Linked DNA regions of Rattus norvegicus. The protein of the gene in region 4 purifies or fractionates together with the protein of the main gene of each other region. This does not show direct contact. Links are inferred from orthologs where the notes say so. Each region holds a gene or a part of one and is shown on either strand. Other genes may lie near its edges.

Evidence for each region. Proteins that work in one complex are often made in the same cells at the same time.
Region 1: the proteins of Srpk2 (region 4) and Luc7l3 purify together in Homo sapiens (affinity purification with mass spectrometry; 3 studies listed by BioGRID and IntAct, with this or other methods). This does not show direct contact. The link is inferred for Rattus norvegicus from reciprocal best matches to the Homo sapiens genes SRPK2 and LUC7L3.
Region 2: the proteins of Srpk2 (region 4) and Zfp638 purify together in Homo sapiens (affinity purification with mass spectrometry; 3 studies listed by BioGRID and IntAct, with this or other methods). This does not show direct contact. The link is inferred for Rattus norvegicus from reciprocal best matches to the Homo sapiens genes SRPK2 and ZNF638.
Region 3: the proteins of Srpk2 (region 4) and Gtpbp4 purify together in Homo sapiens (affinity purification with mass spectrometry; 3 studies listed by BioGRID and IntAct, with this or other methods). This does not show direct contact. The link is inferred for Rattus norvegicus from reciprocal best matches to the Homo sapiens genes SRPK2 and GTPBP4.
Region 5: the proteins of Srpk2 (region 4) and Acin1 purify together in Homo sapiens (affinity purification with mass spectrometry; 3 studies listed by BioGRID and IntAct, with this or other methods). This does not show direct contact. The link is inferred for Rattus norvegicus from reciprocal best matches to the Homo sapiens genes SRPK2 and ACIN1.

Annotation. Positions count from the first base shown.
Region 1 is NC_086028.1:79,770,630-79,774,828, forward strand, and holds the start of Luc7l3 (luc7-like protein 3), read right to left. Parts: upstream 2,801-4,199; 5' UTR 2,634-2,800; coding exon 2,535-2,633; intron 1-2,534. UniProt on the Homo sapiens protein: Binds cAMP regulatory element DNA sequence. May play a role in RNA splicing.
Region 2 is NC_086022.1:117,958,819-117,962,850, reverse strand, and holds the start of Zfp638 (zinc finger protein 638), read right to left. Parts: upstream 2,801-4,032; 5' UTR 2,700-2,800; intron 1-2,699.
Region 3 is NC_086035.1:65,997,883-66,002,182, reverse strand, and holds the start of Gtpbp4 (GTP-binding protein 4), read right to left. Parts: upstream 2,801-4,300; 5' UTR 2,760-2,800; coding exon 2,712-2,759; intron 28-2,711; coding exon 1-27. UniProt on the Homo sapiens protein: Involved in the biogenesis of the 60S ribosomal subunit. Acts as a TP53 repressor, preventing TP53 stabilization and cell cycle arrest.
Region 4 is NC_086022.1:12,527,243-12,530,742, reverse strand, and holds part of Srpk2 (SRSF protein kinase 2), read right to left. Parts: coding exon 3,473-3,500; intron 2,585-3,472; coding exon 2,117-2,584; intron 1-2,116. UniProt on the Homo sapiens protein: Serine/arginine-rich protein-specific kinase which specifically phosphorylates its substrates at serine residues located in regions rich in arginine/serine dipeptides, known as RS domains and is involved in the phosphorylation of SR splicing factors and the regulation of splicing.
Region 5 is NC_086033.1:32,114,205-32,118,398, reverse strand, and holds the start of Acin1 (apoptotic chromatin condensation inducer in the nucleus), read left to right. Parts: upstream 1-1,394; 5' UTR 1,395-1,431; coding exon 1,432-1,743; intron 1,744-1,784; coding exon of another isoform or gene 1,785-2,179; intron 2,180-2,190; exon of another isoform or gene 2,191-2,329; intron 2,330-3,149; coding exon 3,150-3,215; intron 3,216-4,194. Other genes in the region: C15h14orf119 (uncharacterized protein C14orf119 homolog), read right to left, coding at 1,785-2,179.

The sequences.
Region 1 (4,199 bases), on a different chromosome or scaffold from region 4:
GGAATACCACCATGCAAGCTTCCATTTTAACTGCAAAATAGCTACAGATCTTCCAATAGTTGGAATTTAATCTCCTTGTTTGAGGCAGGGATAGCTTTAGGCTAGTTTGGAACTCTGTGCTAAAATTACAGGCTTGGTTTCCAGTGATCTTTTTTGATATTTTTTCATCCTTATCAAAGAAGTCAAAGAAAAATGGTCTGCCCAATTATCAGTTATATGGCTTTTCTCTGTCTAATTCAAGACTGGCAGAGAAAAAATTTGAATACAGGCCAGAAAGATGGTTCTGTACTGGGTAAAGGCACCTGCTGCCAAGTTGAGGACCCATGGCCAACAAACGCCCCCATCTCCTTACACCCACCAAATAATTTTAGGAGGAAAATTCTCCAACTGGAATAAAATTGCTAAACTATATTACCGTATTAGACAGTGAATGCTGGATTTGCCTATCTCTTGGAGGTTTTATTAAAAACCAAAAAGGGCAGCATCTAACTGACTTGAAGAAAGTAACTGAAAGAAAATTAAAGCCTCGATTGTTATTTTCAAAACTTATCCACATACATTATTATGTGCCATTCTTCCCAAGATGTGTTCAAAACTATGAGGTGTACGGAATGAAATCACATTTATCTTTAATCCAAAACACAAATGTCCTATAGGGAAAAATTACCCCCCCCCACCTTTGTTGTTTATTTCTGAGACAGTTTCAAGATAATAGTTCTCTGGCTGGCCTGAAATTCACCAAGATCCACCTGCCTCTGCCTCCTCGGTGCTGGGATAATTGATAGGTGTGTACCACCCAGCACAGCTAATTTTTCCTAACCTTTAAAAAAGTTTAGATTGACTAATCCCTGGCTCAGAAGACTGAGGCAAGGGATCTCTTGAGTTTGAGGCCAGCCTTGACCTAGAGCAAGTTCCAGGACACCAGAGCTAAACATAGAGACTCTCATTAGGAAAAGGAAAAAACAAAACAAAACAAAACAAAACAAAACAAAAAACAAAAAAAAAAAAAACCCAACGCCAGTCAGGGGTGGTCCAAACCTTTAATTCTAACAGAGGCAGGAGGATCTCATGGCCAACCTCATCTTCAGAGTGAGTTCCAGGACAGCCAGGGGAAACACGGTGAAACCCTGTTTTGAAAAACCAAACCCTTGGGCTGGAGAGATGGCTCAGTGGTTAGGAGCACCTCTTCCAGAGGTCCTGAGTTCAAATCCCAGCAACCACATAGTGGCTCACAACCATCTGTAATAAAATCTGATGCCCTCTTCTAGTGTGTCTGAAGACAGCTACAGTGTACCTATTTATAATAAGTAAATCTTTAAAAAAGCAAAACAAAACCAGAATAAAAAAAAATACACCCAAAGCCCCCCCAAGCCCAACAACAACAAAAAACTTCAATTGAAAGTGGGGGTGAAGAGAGGAAGAAGAGAAAACAATGCATAATTTACTTTCTTGAAAAGCCCATCTGTGACTAGTAATCCCAGCACTCTGGAAGCTGATGGAGGATTTCAAGTTCGAAAACCACCTGACCTACAAAGTAAAGCACTGCCTCAAAAAAAAAAAAACAAAAAACAAAAAACAAAAAAAAAACAAAGCTTTTGTTGAGCCACTTTTTCATATTTTATTAGCAAATGACTTAAAACTGCGGTTTGATTTTAATTGCAAGGTAAAATCAAGTATACCTATTCTCCAGTTCAGACCTAAAACAATGTGCTCCGTGTACAAAACTAGATAAAAAGTACTTGAAATACAGTGTAGTATATGCACGAAGCCAGCTTCACAGAACAGTGCAACCTGAACAGTGCTAAAAAATTAGCTTTGCCGACTACATGAGACCTCGAGTGAGCTGCTCCTGCCTCACCTGTGACCCTGGAGTTATATTTAACCCTAAGAGAGTAAAAGGATTGAGTGAGTTTATGTGAAAACAAAAAACCTCGACAACCGCCTATCTAAGGGACTGACTACTGCCACCAAACAGGCGTCCAACTGCCATCAAACCGCATTAGCAAACACTGTTTATGATAAACTGTACCAAGTCACCTGTTTCAAATGTCTACCTACCCAAAGGACCGTCGAAATGGAACCAACCACTCCTAAATAATGCAGTACTACGATTTTTTCCCCACTAATACTGGTCAGAAGTCAAGCATATTTAAATATGATGGCTGCATCAATATAACGGAAGACTTTGCCTTTCTTTTTCATGCGGTTAAAAACACGGAGCTCTGGTGTAATAAAACGAGCCCTTCCTTCCTTTTCCCGCGTTTCCCGGCCTCACCAAGGTGCTTCTTCTGCCCCGCCAAGAGAAATCCCGGACTTCCTCCATAGAACAACAAATCACCCTACCCCCGAGGTTCGCGCGGAATCTTCCCTCCCGGGCCACTCTCCCGCCTCCTTCAGCCGTCAGGTGCTTTAGTCTCCGCGGCCCGGACCCCAAATCGCGCCGCGACCCACCCAGGCCAGCCTGGGCCCGCGCCCTCCCTTCCCTTCCCCTCCCCCAGACGCTTGGGCACAGGCCCAAGGCCCACGGGACTTACGCTCTCGTGGTCCCACCGCACGTTGCTGCGCTTCTCATCCGGGGCCAGGTTTCGGTCCCGGCCCATTAACTCATCCAACAACTGCGCGGCCGAAATCATGGTGCTTCCTCCGGGCGGCTGCTCACACCAGCCCTAGCACCCACCAACGAAAACCACCAGCCACTCGGCCGCCGAACCAACCCCTCGGCCCACTCTCAAGCCGAAAAGCCTCTTCCAAAGAGGAGCCGATAAGACAAAATGGCCGCCGCCCGGGCACCTTCCCAGCATGCCGTGCGCCCGCGGAGACACGCCTAGGCCCGGGCGGCGATGGCGGCACGGCTTCGGCGGCGAGGGGGCGGGACCTCCGGCCTAGGCCGGGGGCAAGCCCGGGCCAGACACTGACTCCGCCCCGCCGTGCCTTCCCTGATGAACCCTGACATTCTTACCCGCCGCGGTGTCAGCCTTTTTTACTTGGAGAAGCAGCAGTCAAGCTCTGGAACCTTTGGCTCTGCTCCGAAAAGGAGAAAACGTCCCTTTGTCCACGTGGTGCCCAGGGTGCCATCTTCCTGTGAGGGAAACAAGAGCAAGCTGCGTTCGTGCTCAGACTCCATTTTCCTAGTCCTTGTAGTTACTGCCTCCTCTACCAGGCCTTATCTCTGTCTGCACCCCCTCCCCCTCTCCCACCCAGTTCGATGCTGGGGATTGAACCGAGGACCTTAACGCTTAACACTCTACTAGTGAGCTAAATCCTCAACTCTTCTACCTGGTTTTGTCTGGATTTTCTCGATTTTTAGAGAGGTAAATCAAGGAATAGGCTATATGCGATTGGAGGAATTATGTTGTGATAGTTCCAATCCAGGAATTTATTTTCCTTCGTTTTGTGTCGAGTGTTACTGTGTGTTCAGGGACACGTAGAGGAGACCAGAGGTCACCTTCTAGAGTTCTATAGTCTCTGGAACTATCCACTTTTTGTTTGTTTCGAGATAGGGTTTCTCTGTAGCCTTAGCTAGCCTGGAACTCACCAGGCTGGCCTCAAACTCACAGAGACTCCCCTGTCTCAGCCTTTTGAGTGCTGGGATTAAAGGCGCACAGTGCCACCGCTCCTCAATCTAAACTTTTGAAAGCGTAGGGAAACTTAGCTGGGCTTGGTGTTACAGTCCTAGCACTGGGCAGGCAGAGTCAGGTGGATTTTGGTGAATTGAAGAGATCCACCTGCTTCTGCCTCTTGAGTTCTAGGATTAAAGATTGAAAGTCTCAGTCCTACATGATGGTGCACCTCTTTATCCCAACACTTGAGAGGTACAGGCAGGTGGATATCTGCGAGTTTGAGACCAGCCTGGTCAACAAAACAAGTTTCAGGACAGTCATGACTGTTATACAGAAAAACCCTGTCTCAAAAAGAAAAAGAAAGGAGAAGGGATGTCTCACTGGAACATGAGCTCTCTGTCAGCCTGAGAGCCCCAAGAATCCTTTTATTTCTGCTACCTAGCACTGCAATTATATCATTTACATTTTTTTTCCTTTTTTTTTTTTTCGGAGCTGGGGACCGAACCCAGGGCCTTGAGCTTGCTAGGCAAGCGCTCTACCACTGAGCTAAATCCCCAACCCCAGCACTGCAATTATAAACCACTGTTTTACATGTATGTGCTGGATATTAAACTCTGGTCTTCATGCTGAGTGGTGAAC
Region 2 (4,032 bases), about 110 Mb from region 4:
TTAGGACTAGAACATGAACAGAGTTTGATTTCAAAAGAATGAGAAATAATCAAAATATTTACATCCCAAGTAATCACTATGCTCATACAAGCACCTTGAAGCTATTGCTATGTTCCCTACCCTGTCAATCCAAAACTTATTATTCTTGATTCTCATAGAAACAATATGGCTATGAGTTTTAATTCTACACATCACCTTCTCTCACAATTCTTTTCACTATTCTTTTCTGATTGTCTATATATTTTCCTTCCACTTTTATTTTCAACCACAAACAATGGAACAAATTTAGAATAATAAAAACAATAAAAGATTGGATATAAATGAGGGCTTATTAACTTTAGTCACAGCAAATGTTTTATTTGCTAATCTACTAACATCAACATTTCAATATTCATTAGTCCACTGTATTACTAGGTGCCTATTTTAGAAGCACTGTTTCTTAGTTTACTATAACATTTCATTAAGAAACTGGATACTTATTCAAACTGTCATCAATGTCAAGGCACAGTGAAATAAGCATGAGAACCCACCCAGGCTCTTGCACCTGTGGGCTGAGTTCATACATTTAATACTGGAGCATCCAATACATACACCAGTCACTCAGACACGAAGACTGACGTAATTATTTAGTTGCTACAAAGCAGGGGTCATGTCTGTAATCCTAGCACTTGGAGTTATCATCCTACTTCTGCCTCCAAATGCAAGGGCACCCTGATCTAATCAACACATTGAGTTCTAGGCTAATCTGCTACCTAGCAAGATTTTGTAAATAATCAATAAACTATTACACTAAATTCTGGTTAAATGCAATAAATTTATAGATGCAAGACATTTTCAAGTTTGATAGTTTTCAATTCTGTTAATCTAAATTCCATCTTTTAGTTAAAAGGAAGTATCCATAGGCTACAATTTTCTATTAGAAGATGTTACCTAGTCAAGTTAAATTTTGAAACAAGTAAAACTTGAAATAATTAAGAAACATCTATCTGCTGAAGGATAGGAGTATTCCATACTGGATCTCAGTATACTAAAAGAAAGTTCAAACAAGTAGCGAAGTTTACAAATAACATAAAATTTCACAAAGACTAAAACAACTGAAGTCTCACACATAATAATAGTAAGAGAACAATGTATTTAAATCCATAACTTCTGGTCCCAAAACCTATTCTCTGTCCATTAGACTCATCATTTTTATTACATAAAAATCAAAATTCAGAGATCTTAAGACATTCTTACAACATCCAGAAAATGATGACTGTGAGAACTTTTTAGAACTAGAATTTATGGTTAAAGCACACTCCATCACAACAAATGCAAAAAACTGCAATGTATCCAATGTACAAGGTAATATATGTCATATAAATACATTTGAAAACCAGTTAATCAAAACAAATGAAGGACATTTTTGTGATTTCTTTCAACTGTTTTGTCTTTACCCATTGGTTCCAACACAATGACAAGGCGGGGAATAGCCTAGGATATTTTAGTATATTACATTTTGGATTCCACAAATATGAAGGTACACACTACAGAATATGGAAATATAAAAGTCAAATTTTGTAAAGCAGAATGCAGCATAAGCCCATTATGGTTAAGTGTATAATCAATAACATTTTGAAAATATGTAATAAAAAAAATGTAATAAACAAACTTATTTTCCTGTGTTAACGTCCTTATATTAATATTTCTTGTAATCTTTTTCCAGTCTGTCATTTTAAATTTATAAACATAAGCAGTAAACGCAACTCTTTTGAAAAACAAGTTAACCCTTCATACACAAAATGACAAGAGGGAGAATTTTGTGTATGAACAATTTCAAAACTGGGTAGGAAAAAGATGACTTCACATGGTCGGGTGGATGCTGGTGAAGAAGCTTTTCTTCAGAACTTTTCACATTGAGTGTTCCTTCTAGAATTCCCAAACTGCCAAGGGTAATTTTAATATTAAATAGCTCGAGGCTACGATCATTGTCAAGCTCAAAGATTTTGTAATACTGAGACTCCCTCATAGGCAATTACTTCAAACAACAAAGGACGTCTGAAACATCCTCGGGGATGAGAGTCAGTGGTACAGACCTCCCTGCTCTTTAACAAAACAGGCCCAAGTTAGGAACCACACCAACAGAAGCAAATATCCCCACATCGGTGTTCTCGACTCCTCTAAGAATGTGGAAGTGTCACCGCCATTTTCGACGACATCCCAGGACCAACAATCTCGACTTCGGTGCTCACTGGGGCGCTTAGCCCACAACACCCCGCACACCCCACTCCCACCCCCTGCAGGGACGCTCTTCCAGCCCGGCTAAGGGCGCACGCGGCCCACGGGTCTCCGAAAGGCGCTCGGGCACGCGGCAGCCTCCCCGCTAGCTGTCAGGCCTGAGAGGCAGACCCGCGGCGCTGAGGAAGGGGCGGCAGGGATTCCCGGAGGACGCCACCCGCTCCTCCGCAAGCGGCGGCATTAGGCGGCTGCGCCGAGCGGCACTGCGGCGCAACGGCGCGGTCAGCGAGTGACAAGGGGAACAGGCCACGGCCGAGGCCCACCCGGGGTCCCTCAGCTCCGCCCGCCCCACCGCCGCCATCTTGTACGCAGCGGCTGCGACACATACAATAGTCGACCGCGACCTCACAGGGACGGCTCGGGGCCTGCGCTCAGGGCCTCCGCCTTCCAGTCCCCGGCTCCCCGCAAGGCAGCGGCCCTACCTATGCCTACCGACTAACAGCTGGATCCCATCCGTGCCCCACACAGTTTAGCACTCGGCCTCCAGTCACAGCGACGAAGCAGCTACCGCCTCCATGGGGCTACACGCATGCGCATCTTCGCCTAAAGCCCTCGTCCGCTCACCGCGCCTGCGTGCCTCAGGCTCAGCGTTCTCTGAAGACTCTGTCAGGGGCAAGGCCGCACTCTTCCAGAAGGGGGCGATCGCCAGCTATGGCTGGCCCCACACCTGCAGTTGTCTGGGTAGCATCACTCGGGTTTTAGAACCTGCAAACTATGCTGGTCTTGTTTGTCCTCCTCTCTTTCATGAGGCCTTCTCTGATTACTATTTCCTCAGTATCACAAAGTTATATTCACATAGCACTTATTTGCAATATGGTACTCGCGCCTTTACTGCTCACCCCCTCCACACACACTTTTTCAAGAAAAGTCTGGAACACCCTATGTAGCTCTAGGCTGGTTTTGAACTCACATAGCTCCTACCTGCTTCTGCCTTTCAACTGCTGGAATTATAGGCATAATTCTTATCTCCCACCTCTTAAATGGGAAATTAGGCTGCGCTGTGTTGGCATAGGCAAGAGGCAGGCAGGTATCTGTGAAAGAAGCCAGACTGGTCTAGAGAGGATATTCCAGGAAAACCAAAGCTACACAGAGAATCCCTGTTTCAAAAAACAAAAAGATAGATAGATAGATAGACAGACAGACAGACAGATAGAATAATAAAATGGGAAAATAGAATGGAATACAAGTTTAAGTCAAAGGACTAATATTGAAAATCCTTTTGTCATTTCACTATACAAGGAGGGAAAAAAACCTGGGTGGTAAACATCTATAATCCTGATTAATTTTACCCATGAAAAACAATGGGTTAAGACAATTTTAAAACTGTTTTCCTCATTGTTCTATCTTCTCAAGTAGACTCAGTTATGCCAATATAAACAGATCAATCAAAATTAAAGGACCATCTCCTTTGATGAAATTCTTAGGAGGCCGGTGGTATGGGGCTTCCGAGGGGAAAGATAAGCTATTGCACCTGGTTCCTCCCACTACCAAGAAAGAAGCACAATGTTTAGTGGGTCTATTTGGATTCTGGAATTAACTACAATCCAGAAAGGAGTTGTCATGCTGCAGCTGTCCACTTCTTGGTGGTGCTGGCATAATGTGTAGAACTGCCAGTAAACCAGGTCCGAGTCTTCTCTCCCTCAGTCAACAGATCATAGGGAACACTCTTTCTTTTTTTTTTTTTTTTTTTTTTTTGGTTCTTTTTTTCGGAGCTGGGGACCGAACCCAGGGCCTTGCGCTTCCTAGGCAAGCGCT
Region 3 (4,300 bases), on a different chromosome or scaffold from region 4:
CTTGGATAATGTCAGGTCAATAAAGTCCTATGATTAAAGAAAATAATTAAGATGAAATTCAAACACATGTACTTTCTAGCCATTTGCTTATAACCATAAAACATTAGTCCAGTACTATATGGTTTAAACTACAAAACTTATTTTTTCAAAAATCAATTGTTTTATATACAACTTGGGTCATCTTTACAGTTTCTGGCCCTTATGAAAACTTGCTACCCACCACCAACACTAAGACAGTTGAGAGACTCGCCACACTCCTCAGGAATGCCTGACTGAAAGGGCCGGTGCTGGTGGTGTCCTTTAGTGCCAAAGCCCTGCTTTAACTATGCCCTCACTCAGCCCCTACACCAACCATGACCAACCAGGCCACACCTTACAAACACCCAGCCCCATCCATCCCTGATAATGAGGGCATGCTCGACGTGTCCAGCCACCCCCAGGACCCTCGTTTGGAGTGGCTGAAAACCCTGTGAATACTCCCAACTGATGGAGGAGGCCCCTCCCTAGTCATTCCTATAAATCTGCCCAATGTAGAGGAAAGGACTTGCTAATGGTTGCTGAAATATATTTTAACCCATGTTTTTTTAATACTATTTTAACTTGCAAACTCCTAAGAAAACTCAAGAATAAATCAGAAGAAAAAGAGACAGTTCTTCAATTTCAAGGACATTGTAGTTGTGATTTTAAGGGGTTATAAAATGAAAAATCTAAAACCCACCATCTAAAATTCCCTATGTATGTTGAGGAGACTGAGGATTTGAGCTATTTGTCCCTATTCACTTTTACCCAACCATACAAAACTGTTCTCCTTTCCCTTGATCACTTCCATTACCTCAACAATATTGCTCGTGTCCTGTAATAAAGGATAGAATGAACAACAATGGTGGACAAAGCAGTGAACTAGGCGCCAAGATCCCGTGAAGCAAAACCAAAGGCAAGCAGGTAATCGCAATAGTCTGCCAGGGATTATGAAGAGCATGAACACTCAGGCCTCTGTTCCTCCCCTCTGTTCCTTACCATGGTCCTCACATCTTTAGGGAGACAGTAAAAGTTGCCTACTGAAAAGTTTCTCCAGACTCTCCCTTTTATCAGCATGTTTTTGTTTGTTTGTTTTGTTTTTCTGAACAGGGTTTCTCTGCCTGTAGCCTTGGCTGTCCTACAACTTATCTTGCTCAGTGTACACCAGGTTAGCCCCAAACCCAGAGATCTCCTGCCTTTGCCTCTTGAGCACTAGGATTAAAGGCGTACATCAACACTGCCCTGTTCTCCCTACATTCTTATGCTATCCCAAATCCCTGATACTTACAGGAGTTTACAGTCAGAGTTTCTCCCCACACGCCCTCACCACAATAGCTCTCAAACAGATATCTGAATTCATTATAAAGTGGTACAGTGCTTGTGTATAGAAGAATCCACATACATATGTCATATATTTAGGGAATGTTAGTGCATGGAGGCTCATGCCTTTAATCTTAACACTCTGAAGCAGAAGCAGGCATATTTCTTTAAGTTCCAGGCCAGCCATGTCAGCTTAGTAAGACCATCTCCAAAAAGAAAGAAAACAAACAGATAAACAACAAAAAAGGGAAAATAAAGTCTGTGCACATTAAATGTGGATGCAGTTTTCAAATAGTGTTCTTGGTCTGCGGTTGGTTGAATCTGGATTTGAACTCAAACACAGAGGGCCAAATGTATTTCACACAGTTCTCCATGATACTGCAGTGGGTCTAAATGCATTTTGTTATTCCTTCAGAAAATGATTCTTAAAGACGTAGACTATTCTTTTGAGTGTCTATACACAGAACCTAGCACACACTTTTACAAAAATACCCCATACTCTTTAGACTTGAGTTATTTCCAACCACCGAAGGATTCCCATCGCCTATTAATACATATGCTAACTTAATCTGTTTTCTAGCAGCAGAACTCCTTCAGGGCAACAGAGACACATGCTGCGTTCAATTCTTTACTAGGTCAATTATATTAACAAAGTTCAGAACAAGCTCTTTCATAAAGGAAGATATCGAAAATACCCACACTGCTGTAAATTTAATGACAGTGACATTGGTTCCTCTAGTTGATCCTGCGATTCAATGCCCATGGCTTGCCAAAGAAACACGTGTATCTTTTTAGGTTCTTTAGCCTAACTAATAATACTCGACATTTGGAAGGAACGTATCTTGCTACGTCACATAAATTTGGCCTTGCGTGCTTAAAACCAATTGCATTTTCTAAATCCAACGACAAATGACAACTACCTAGAATTTTTTAGACCGTGACAGCACGAATCAAGTTTTACTTAAAAGGGAGGATACTACGTTGAATCTAGAATCCTAAAGCAGGGGTCTCACGACGCTCACCACTAACCACTCCAGGCTTCCTGCCTTGCTCCTTACTGCGGCCAGCACCCAGACACTTTGTCACGTCGGCAGGGCACAGAAGAATAATAGGTCCTGGAAGAGTTCTGAGGTCTTGGAGGGATTCTAGGATTCAGGGCACCCATGGACAGAGGGAGAGGGGTTTGGTTCCAGAGAGTGTGACTGATCTCCGAGAGTGCCGAGGACAAAGCCTAACAAGTGGAGCTCGGGTCTGAGGGCCGAGTGGATCCAAGGCGTCCTCCCTCCCCCGGTCTCGGGGATACAGAACTAAACCCTCCCTGGAGACTTGTCAGGGGAAGGGAGATAGGCGGGAACGACCTCGATCACCCCTACCTTGGCTGACGGCACCACCGTAATCTTCTTGAAGTTGTAATGCGCCATGCCGGCGGTGGAACGCACGAGGAAACCTGGAGAAGCGGAGGACCGGACTTCCGCCGTCAAGAGCGGGCGGGACTTCCGCCGGCGGGGTTGGGCGGGACTTCCGCCATTCGGCTTGACTGAACTTTAGCTGCAGGGCTCAAGCATTGCATCATTTCCTGAATGTCTGCGAGGCGTGGCCCGCGCGTCCGCCCGGACGTGCTCCTCGACAGCGCCCCCACTCGGCCGTGAAGTCCGCGGCCGAGAGATAAGGAGACCGGATGAGCTGCTGTGGAGATCGGCTGGGTTTGAGAGGTGGAGGGTGGGGAATAACCTTGCGGGGTGAAGGAGATACTCCAGGCTGGCCACCTTGGCGGGGTCTCAGGAAACACTCCCCTCACCCAAGCAAGCCTCAGGGCTCCAAAGGCTGTTCGCCACCTCTGGGGACGCCGTGGTCAGGGCAAGTGACATGCAGGAAGACATAGAGCGGGGCTCTTGCATCACTGTGTGTCCCCTGAGCAACAAATGCTGTCGCCTGGCACTGTGGAAAGTTATTTATTGGAGTAAATAATGTTGACAGGGACTTCTGACGATAGAAAAGACTGCATCCTTCCAGGTGGCTCGAGCTCCCTCTCCTGACCTTGCAGCCTCGCGGTGGTTTGAAGGCGCTCAGCCTTCATCTGGCATGGGCCAGTGAAAAAAACTGCCCCGCACAGCTGCCCTGAACCCAGGACCAGGACATAGACAGAGTCTGATCCGTACAGAATTACATGGATTGAAGCCAACTTTCCCATATTTGTTTTCCCTATCATTTTAATTAAGCCACCGTTTTTTTGTTGTTTTTTTTGGGGGGGGGGTTGTTTGTTTGTTTTTTTGTTTTGGATCCTTGGGAATCCTGCCAGCCTCCATCCAGCTACTCTTGCCTCCTGATTATCTTGTAACTTAAATGACCCTTTTTCGGGTATTGCTGTCCCCTTCAAACCCTTCTCCCTATTTCTGTGACATCCATCATTTTGGTACATGATGTCTAGAATCCAGTCTTCTTTGCTAATTTCCTGCTGTCTCTCCCTAACTAGATACTCCTCAAAGTTCTTCCTCTTCAGAGTCTCCTTTCTGAGTGGTGGCTTCACAGCTCCCATGTGGACTACTATGATACAAGTTTCTTTCAGCCTGGTTTCTTCCTCAATTCCAATCAGACATTTCAATCAGAAGTGAAATCTCCACCCCACATGACTCCAGAAATGTAAATTAGGTATATCTGAAAATAAAGAGCATTTTCTGCTTTTCTAACTAAATGCATCCCTCTGTGTTGTTGGGAAGGACAGCCTCACACTCTGATTCCCACCAGAGTTCAGAACAAGGCGGACCTAGAGCCAAGAGCAAGATTGACCAGAACTAAAGACCTTGAAACAAAGTTAGTAGCTGAGGCCTTGGGCAGAGGTGAGGCATAAAGAGTGGTCCCACTGATGATAAATCCCTGGAACAGGAGCAGAGAAGGAAAATTATGGGATAAGGCAAAAGAGCTGCATGTGGTCCCACACAGTGGGTGAGCAGAATCTAGGGAT
Region 4 (3,500 bases):
GCTTGGGGAATGAAGCAGCAATTCACAGAAGCCAGTGGAAATCACGGGCAGGTGCAGATCCGTCAACAGGACGAGTTCAGCAAGACAAGAACAAGGAAGAACAGAGGAGGTAACGCACACGGAAGATGCCTAACTTCCCAGAGGGACAGCAGAGCAAGCAGCAATGGCAAAAGAAAGGCAGGGCTACTGGAGGAGCCGGCAGGGCCCAAGGACAAGTTGCTGTCCGCTTACTTCCGCCACGACACAGCAGGCAGAGCAACCACGGCCTCCTGACAATCACCAAAAGATCGCCTCTGTCACAGTGCCCAAGCCTTCTTTAATGAAAACCATGAGTTTTGAATTCAATAATCTTTCTGCACTGGAATTTTAGATTTTGCCTAAGTTAGAATACCTCCTCACACACTACGATTATAAATTCTCTCTTCTTTTTTATGAGGATTTCTTTCTGAGGGCCAGAGAGACGGCTCTGTGGTTGAGAGTATTGGCTGCTCTTCCAGAGGACTGGGTTCAGTTCCCAGCACCCACACGGCAGCTCCAACTGTAACTCCAGTTTCAGGGCACAACACCCTCACACAGACACACATGCACGCCAACACCGAAGCACATAAAATTGTTCTAGAAAGAATTTTTTTCTTTTCAGGTTTTAACCTGTATCTACCTATCCTGGCTCCCCAGAAAGAATGAATGATGATGTGGGAGACGGAATAAATCGAGAGATCCCTGAGCTCTCGGCAAGACTATGCTGAGCAGTCTGTCCACAGAGCCCGGGCCGCAGGCACTGCTGGTGTGACAGGGCAGTAATGAATGTGCGTGTGAGGAGGTGTTGAACAACCGAGGCACACGTACCGAACTTCTCACACACAGTTCAGTATGTAGCATTTGCTTCAATGGCCATTTGGTGTGGCCACTGCTTTCCTTCAATAGAAAAAACAAAAGCAAACAAAAATGGGGCATGAAGAGGTTAAGAAACTGAAGTCCCATGGTTATTCTAAGTTTAAGCTGGAATTCAGTTTTCTATATTTAAAACTACTGTTCTAAGTTATCACATGAAAAATAACAAGGGGTTGGGGATTTAGCTCAGTGGTAGAGCGCTTGCCTAGCAAGCGCAAGGCCCTGGGTTCGGTCCCAAGCTCCAAAAAAAAAAAAAATCAAGTTAAGAAAAATAAGGAAAAGCTATGGTAAAAATTGCTTTGTGTGAAAATCAGCTGCAACAGAAACAATAAATGCAGAGAAGGTACAAGTCTCTGCCACCTTTGCCCAGAAATGAGCCTATATTTTCTTCTGGTCAGACCAAGGGTGAGGTGTAAAGCAGCCACCGCCAAGGGAGCAACACCACGCCTAAGACAATCCAGCACAGCCAGCAGACAGAGGCAGCAACTAAAGAGGCTACAGAACGGGTCAGGCTGGCTCAATTGTTTGTCATGTACTATGGGCATAGCAAAGTCACTGAACTTTTCCCCTAAGGGTCGGAATAAAAATCAATTGTGATATTCAATTTTCCTTCATGGCACTTGCACAAACTATGTGTTTGAAGATAGGACCGCATGGAGACCAGAATGTAGAACCAATGTATAATCTGTTATTGTGCTTTCTCAGAAGCAGAGTTATAGAGCCAGGCAATGGTGGTGCACACCTTTAATACCAGCACTCAGGAGGCAGAGGCAGGCAGATCTCTGAGTTTGAGGCCAATCTGGTCTACAGAGAGAGTTCCATTAACAGCCAGGGCTACACAGAGAAAACAGGTCTCAAAAAAACAAACAAAAACTAACCAAACCAACAACAAAACAAAACAAACAGAAAGAAAGCATGGTTGTATAAACAAGGGCAACTATCAAATAAAACACAAGGCGTCTCAGTATGGATGAAAACAGCCAGGGATCCCTTGAAAACCCAAAAACGACTGCTCTCAGCTGCAAGAGGGTGTATCTAGAAAGCTGTGAGGTTGGTAATGGTGGAAGGCCATTTTACCTATCTGATGTCATTTAATAATATGCAGTAAATGAAGAAAGGCCAGGGATAGGACCTCGTGGCTCTCGCCTAGTCAACTCCCTTCACAGTACGTCACAGGTGTAACCCTACCCAGAGCCAGCAGACAGAGATGCAAAATGGCACTTACTTTTTGGCAAGTCTCCAGTACTGGAGGCTGAAACTGTCCTGCTTCTGTCACGGGATGGACTGCTTTCCTCTGGCTCGGTGAGTGGTGATCCCTCTGACAGCACAGAGTCAGAGGCCACAGGTTCTAAGGGCCCAGAAAACAGCGGTGTGGGAAACTCTGGACTCTTAGGCTGTCCGTTTGGCAATTCACCATTGAATTGTTCATAGGAGCTGCTATACGTATAATCACTCTCCGCATTTGGTTCATCCAGGTTATACTCCTCGGGGTTTGCACAGTCATCTTCCTCATCCTCTTCATCCTCCAGCTGCTGCTCCAGTAAAAACAGGCCATTTTCAATATGGCCGTTGGCCTTAGGGGACTCCATCCACGTAGGGTCTATGTTCTCAAGTTCCTGTTCAACATCATCTTCATCCTTCTCAGTGTTTTCCTTCTCTGTGTCTTCTTTCTCTTCCTGGTCTTCAACTTCACCTTAAAGAAGATGGGGTTAAGACTGGAGTCGACTCTCCATGCACAGTAGCACTATAGGCCTCACACAGGAGAGCCTCTTCTTTAACTCAGATCCGCCTGCCTCTGCCTCTGCATCCCGAGCTCTGGGCTCCTTGATCCTGAGCATGCACCACCACACCCGGCTAGGAGGCAACTCAGACAGATCCCAGAACACGCCTTTTGCTTGTCAAGGCAAGGCGGCATTCTAAATCTTGTTTCTGTTTATTCAGTAATGAGTCCTCTAGCCAGGGACAGGTTAGCTCTGGGGAAATTACAAGTAAAGCTGGATTTTCACTTTAGTCCCTTCTTTTTCAAAGAAGCTTACTGTACCTGATCTTTAAGGTGCTCACTTTTCAACTGTGTGTGAACACATTCATGAGCCCTCACAGCTACAGTTACAAGAGGCTGTGAGCACCATGACACTGGAGGAACTGGGAGCCAAGCTCCTCTGCACTACTGATCCATTCTCCAGCCATTAACCCTCTCTTCTGTCGCCTTAGAAGATCTGTGCTCCCCAGCTCCGAAAAAAAGAAAAAAGAGAGAAAAAAAAAAAAAAAAAAAGAAGATCTATGCTGCATTAAAGTTAGGCAAAGGCCTAATTACAGAATAAGGAAAGGGTCATCATTAACACTAGGGTGCTTCTCAGACATCCTCCGCCCCTTCTCACACCCCTGCTTTGTGACGTAACATGCGCTTAGCAGAGTTTCACAAATGAACTATGCTGCCCCCATCATCCCCAAGGAGAGGTAGAGAAAGCCGTCCTTAGTGACTGAGGTGGCAGCTCAGATACTCTCAGACGCTCTCAGAAATGACCCCGTGTGAAGCTCCCGCACGCGACCAGCCCTCCCTCCTGCTCTGAGTTGGACTAACCATTGTCCTTTGCTGTCTCTTCCTCAGT
Region 5 (4,194 bases), on a different chromosome or scaffold from region 4:
ACACATGTCTTGCTTGTTCTCTCTAAAATTAATGTGCACAGCTTTTTAAATTTTGGTACAAGCGACTAGTCCCAACCTAAATGTTGATTTTTCCACAGTTACATGCACTGTGTGTTGGGAGTGGAGACAAGAGGCAAGAACCTTCTGTTCAAAGTACAAGCAACTGGTCCCAACCTAAATGCTGATTTTCCCACAGTTCCCCACTGTGTGTGTGTGTGGGACGTAGGGGGTGGTCATGAGACAAGAACCTACTGTACAGTGTATGAACCACCTCTGAAACCTGTAAAAAATGTTTATGTTCTATGACCCCCTTATTAAATTCTCTACCACACTAGTAAATTTTGGAGCAGGCTAGGTAAAGTTCTTGTCTCAAGGTAAGGTAAGGGTTAGAAAATCAGAAGCCACTTTATTAAAGTTCTGAAGAAAGTCCTTTTGCTTCTTTCTTGACTTAGGTAACCTAAAAAGTGTGATACGGATGCACACGTGTCTCTCAACAGTTTTCCTTAAAGCTTTATGCCTACAAGTACCACTCATTTTGCATCATGGATGCAAGTGTCAGCCAACTTATTCCAAAATACTTTAGTCCTACAGTTTGTATCTCCAACAAGGAAAACCTTCAACTCTCTAGGACCTAAATTTCTACCTGTTCTTACTTCTCCGAGTTGGAAAATTTGTATCCATGAAGAAAAGAATACCTAAACGTCAGTTCTAAGTCCCGGTTCAGGGTGACTGCCAGTTTCAAAGTGGCCCTACAGGGAGAAGTTTCTCCTAAAACTTCTCTTTTTCAGAGAAAGGGAATTATTTACCCAGGCTTTTTTACATTTACATGGCTTCCACTGTAAACTTAAATTCGATGTCATTAATAAATTTGCTGTCTGAGATCAAAGACACAATGCTACTTTTTCCCACGTTTGGAAGCAGCAGGTCTCTTATTCCTTAGCCACACAGGACAAAGCATTTCTTAGACCGAGTGGCTGGGATATAGAGGATGGGGACCACAGAGATTTCGCCAGGAAGCAGAAGGGTTCCCCAAAAGAAAACATTCAGACACCAAGTCTTATCCGGCCTAGGAGAAATTTCTTTTCCTCTTACCTCCCTTTTCCCCTTGGAGGGCGCCCAGAGATCACAAGAGTGCTTCAGCTCCTGCTCCAATTCCCCGAGTCTCTTCCATGTTTCCGGAAAACCCTAAGTACAGCCAGCCCCAGTAACCCACGCACTTCCGGTCCGGAACCAGCCCCAAGTACCCAAGTGCCCCAGCGCCTCAGCCCTCAAGTCCGGAGATAGCCGAATATCTCCGATTATGGGTATGCCAGATTCGAGGGCTTCCGAATAGATTCGATTCAAAGCCTCGGCAAGACGAAAACAAACGAACCTGAAAGTAAAATGGGAGGAGCCGGCCGCTAGGCAGATGGAAAAAGCCGATTGGTACCGATGTGGAGACGGAAACGACCGAACAGTTCCGGAGGAACCCGGGGAATTCTGAGCGGTAATAGAGGGGTAGACTATGGCAGTGGGCGGGGCCAGTTCGGTACGTTCGAAGGGCGTTGGCGGAAATTACCGAAGATGCCCGAAGCCGTCGGGACGGACCCGAGTACCTCACGCAAGATGGCGGAGCTGGAGGAGGTGACTCTGGACGGGAAGCCTCTTCAGGCTCTGCGGGTGACCGACCTGAAGGCCGCACTGGAGCAGCGAGGCCTAGCCAAGAGCGGGCAGAAGAGTGCCCTGGTCAAGCGGCTCAAAGGGGTGAGAAGTCAGCGTTGCCGAGGTGTCGGAGGGGAGCGGACCTGGTAGAGACGAGTCTCCGCTGCGGCGCAGGCGCAGTGTCCGGGCTCGGCGCGAGCTCTCTCAGGCCGCCAGCGCGAGCCTGCAGATCCACGCGCACGGTGGTTGGTGTGGCTGGCGCTGGAATAGAGATAACGCCGGTTCCCGCCTTAACGGCAGCAGCGCGAGCCCAAAATGGGAGGGTGCGCGCTACTCTCCCGGAGTGTCTTAAGCTCCTTCCTTCTTCCCCCACCCCCTCCTTGTTTGTGTCTGTGTTTTCGGCGCATGCGCTGCAGAAGGAGTTAAATCCCTCTACAACCACCGGTGTGGCTGGCCTTAAGGGGGCGAGCAGGGCTGTGTCCGAGTTAGGGATACAGTTGGGCGGATGGGGTTGGTGTCTGTGTCTGCAGTAGTACATTTTGGATAGGGTAAAAAATGTCCGCTTGACTAGATTAAAACCTTAGATGAAGGAAAACCTTGATAGAAGGACTTGTCAGAGACGGGTGTCTAATTTATAGGGAATCGAGAAACAGTCTGGATAAGAATTTGGTGAATATTGGTGCGAGAGGTGAGACAGATTACTTTAGGCTGGGGATTTTGTATCGGTTTGAGCAGTGAGAATGAGCTTGTTGTCGTGAGGTATACATACTGTGTATTGGTTTGGTGTAAATGGAGGGAAGGAAGGTGAGAAGGACTAGTGTAATTTGAGTTCATTAGGGTACGTGGCTCATAATACTGATAGGGACTCGGTCAGTTCAGGCTTTGAGTTGACAGACCGTTGCTTATCCCGAAGCTGACAGTTTGTGGGTGGGTGTGGATTAGGTCAGACCACAGGTTACAAGGTCTGTGGTTAGTTTCTCGGTGAAGTTTTTAGTACATTTGATTTGTCTGGGTGTCAACACTGATGGAAATTGTGCAGGTTCATTTAAGTAGTTTTAGTTCTGAAAATCAAATAATAGTCAAATCTAAATTAGCAGCCTAGTGTTGGTTTCATGTAATTTGAAACTTGTTTGAGTACTTGTAATTTTTTTTGCCTGTATTACCAGATTTAAAAGTGGCTCCTAGTCAAAATTACAGACAATAACAGGGGTTCTAGTTCTGATTCTGCCACTTTTGCTGATTTTTTTGTGACATAGCCAGGTCACTGATTCTTTGTGTGCCTGTATTTTACATCCGTATACTTGGGAGCAGTAACCATGGCTACCTTTAAGCGACTTATGAAGATGAATGAGAACAATATTAATAAAGCGCTTTTAGGCTCTGTGAAAGGAATGTAGTATAAATGTATATTTAAGTAATTTAGTGAAAAGGCTGTGGGAGAGGTAGAGATCTGGAGTGCTTTTTTGTTCCCCCTCCTGGTTTCTGATTTTTGCTCTTCTTTATACCAGGCTCTAATGCTAGAAAATTTACAAAAACACTCAACACCCCATGCTGCATTCCAGCCAAATTCTCAGGTAAGAAAAAAGGTTTGTTTAGATAGAATGGGCTATTTGGAGAAAATGGTAAATGGGAAGACTTGGTGTCTTCCATGTTTATCAGAAACAGAATTTTCTTGTTTTTTTATTGCAAGTGATCTCAGTTACTGGGTTTTTGTTTTGTTTGTTTTTGTTTTGTTTTTTTAAGGTCTGTTTTTATTTTATGTGTGTGGGTGATTTGCCTCCAACGGGTGCCCACAGAGGCCAGGAGAGAATGTCAGATCCTCTGCAACTGGAGTTACAGACAGCTGTGAGCCACCATGTGGGTGCTGAATCGAACCTGGGTCCTCTATAAACGCAGCCAGTGTCTTAACCATTGAGCTATCTCTCCAGCCCTCAGACAGTTGAATTCTAATCACCCTCAATTTTGCATAAAGACCTGGAGTTTTAAAAAAAAGAAAAGAAAAAAATATATATATATAAATAAAATCAAAGGAGCACTGAATGAATTTTGAATTCTTGGAGTGTGTCAAAAGTATCACTCTGGGGGTTGGGGATTTAGCTCAGTGGTAGAGCGCTTGCCTAGGAAGCGCAAGGCCCTGGGTTCGGTCCCCAGCTCCGAAAAAAAGAACCAAAAAAAAAAAAAAAGTATCACTCTGATTAAGTGTGCCACAAGAATCTGAAGTCACTTGCCATCAGCTTAGGGGAAAGTTATCTTTGAATATAGATCTTTGAATATAGATGTAACAAAATACTTTTTCATCAAGAACTCTTTTATTGGTACAAATTTACTTTAAAGAATTTGATACTGTATTAATAAACCCTTATTTCTAGGACTAACTCTTAAACATCCTTAAAACCTTGATGACTTAGGACAAGGTACTTAACACTTAGAGACCTTTGTTTCTTTACCCGAAATAGGAAAAGTAGTTTGACTTAGTTCATGGTTTTATAACTGCTCTGCTGGGGTGTCTTAGGGGAAAAAACTTTGTTCTAAGAGTTCCTGCATAAACGTTTT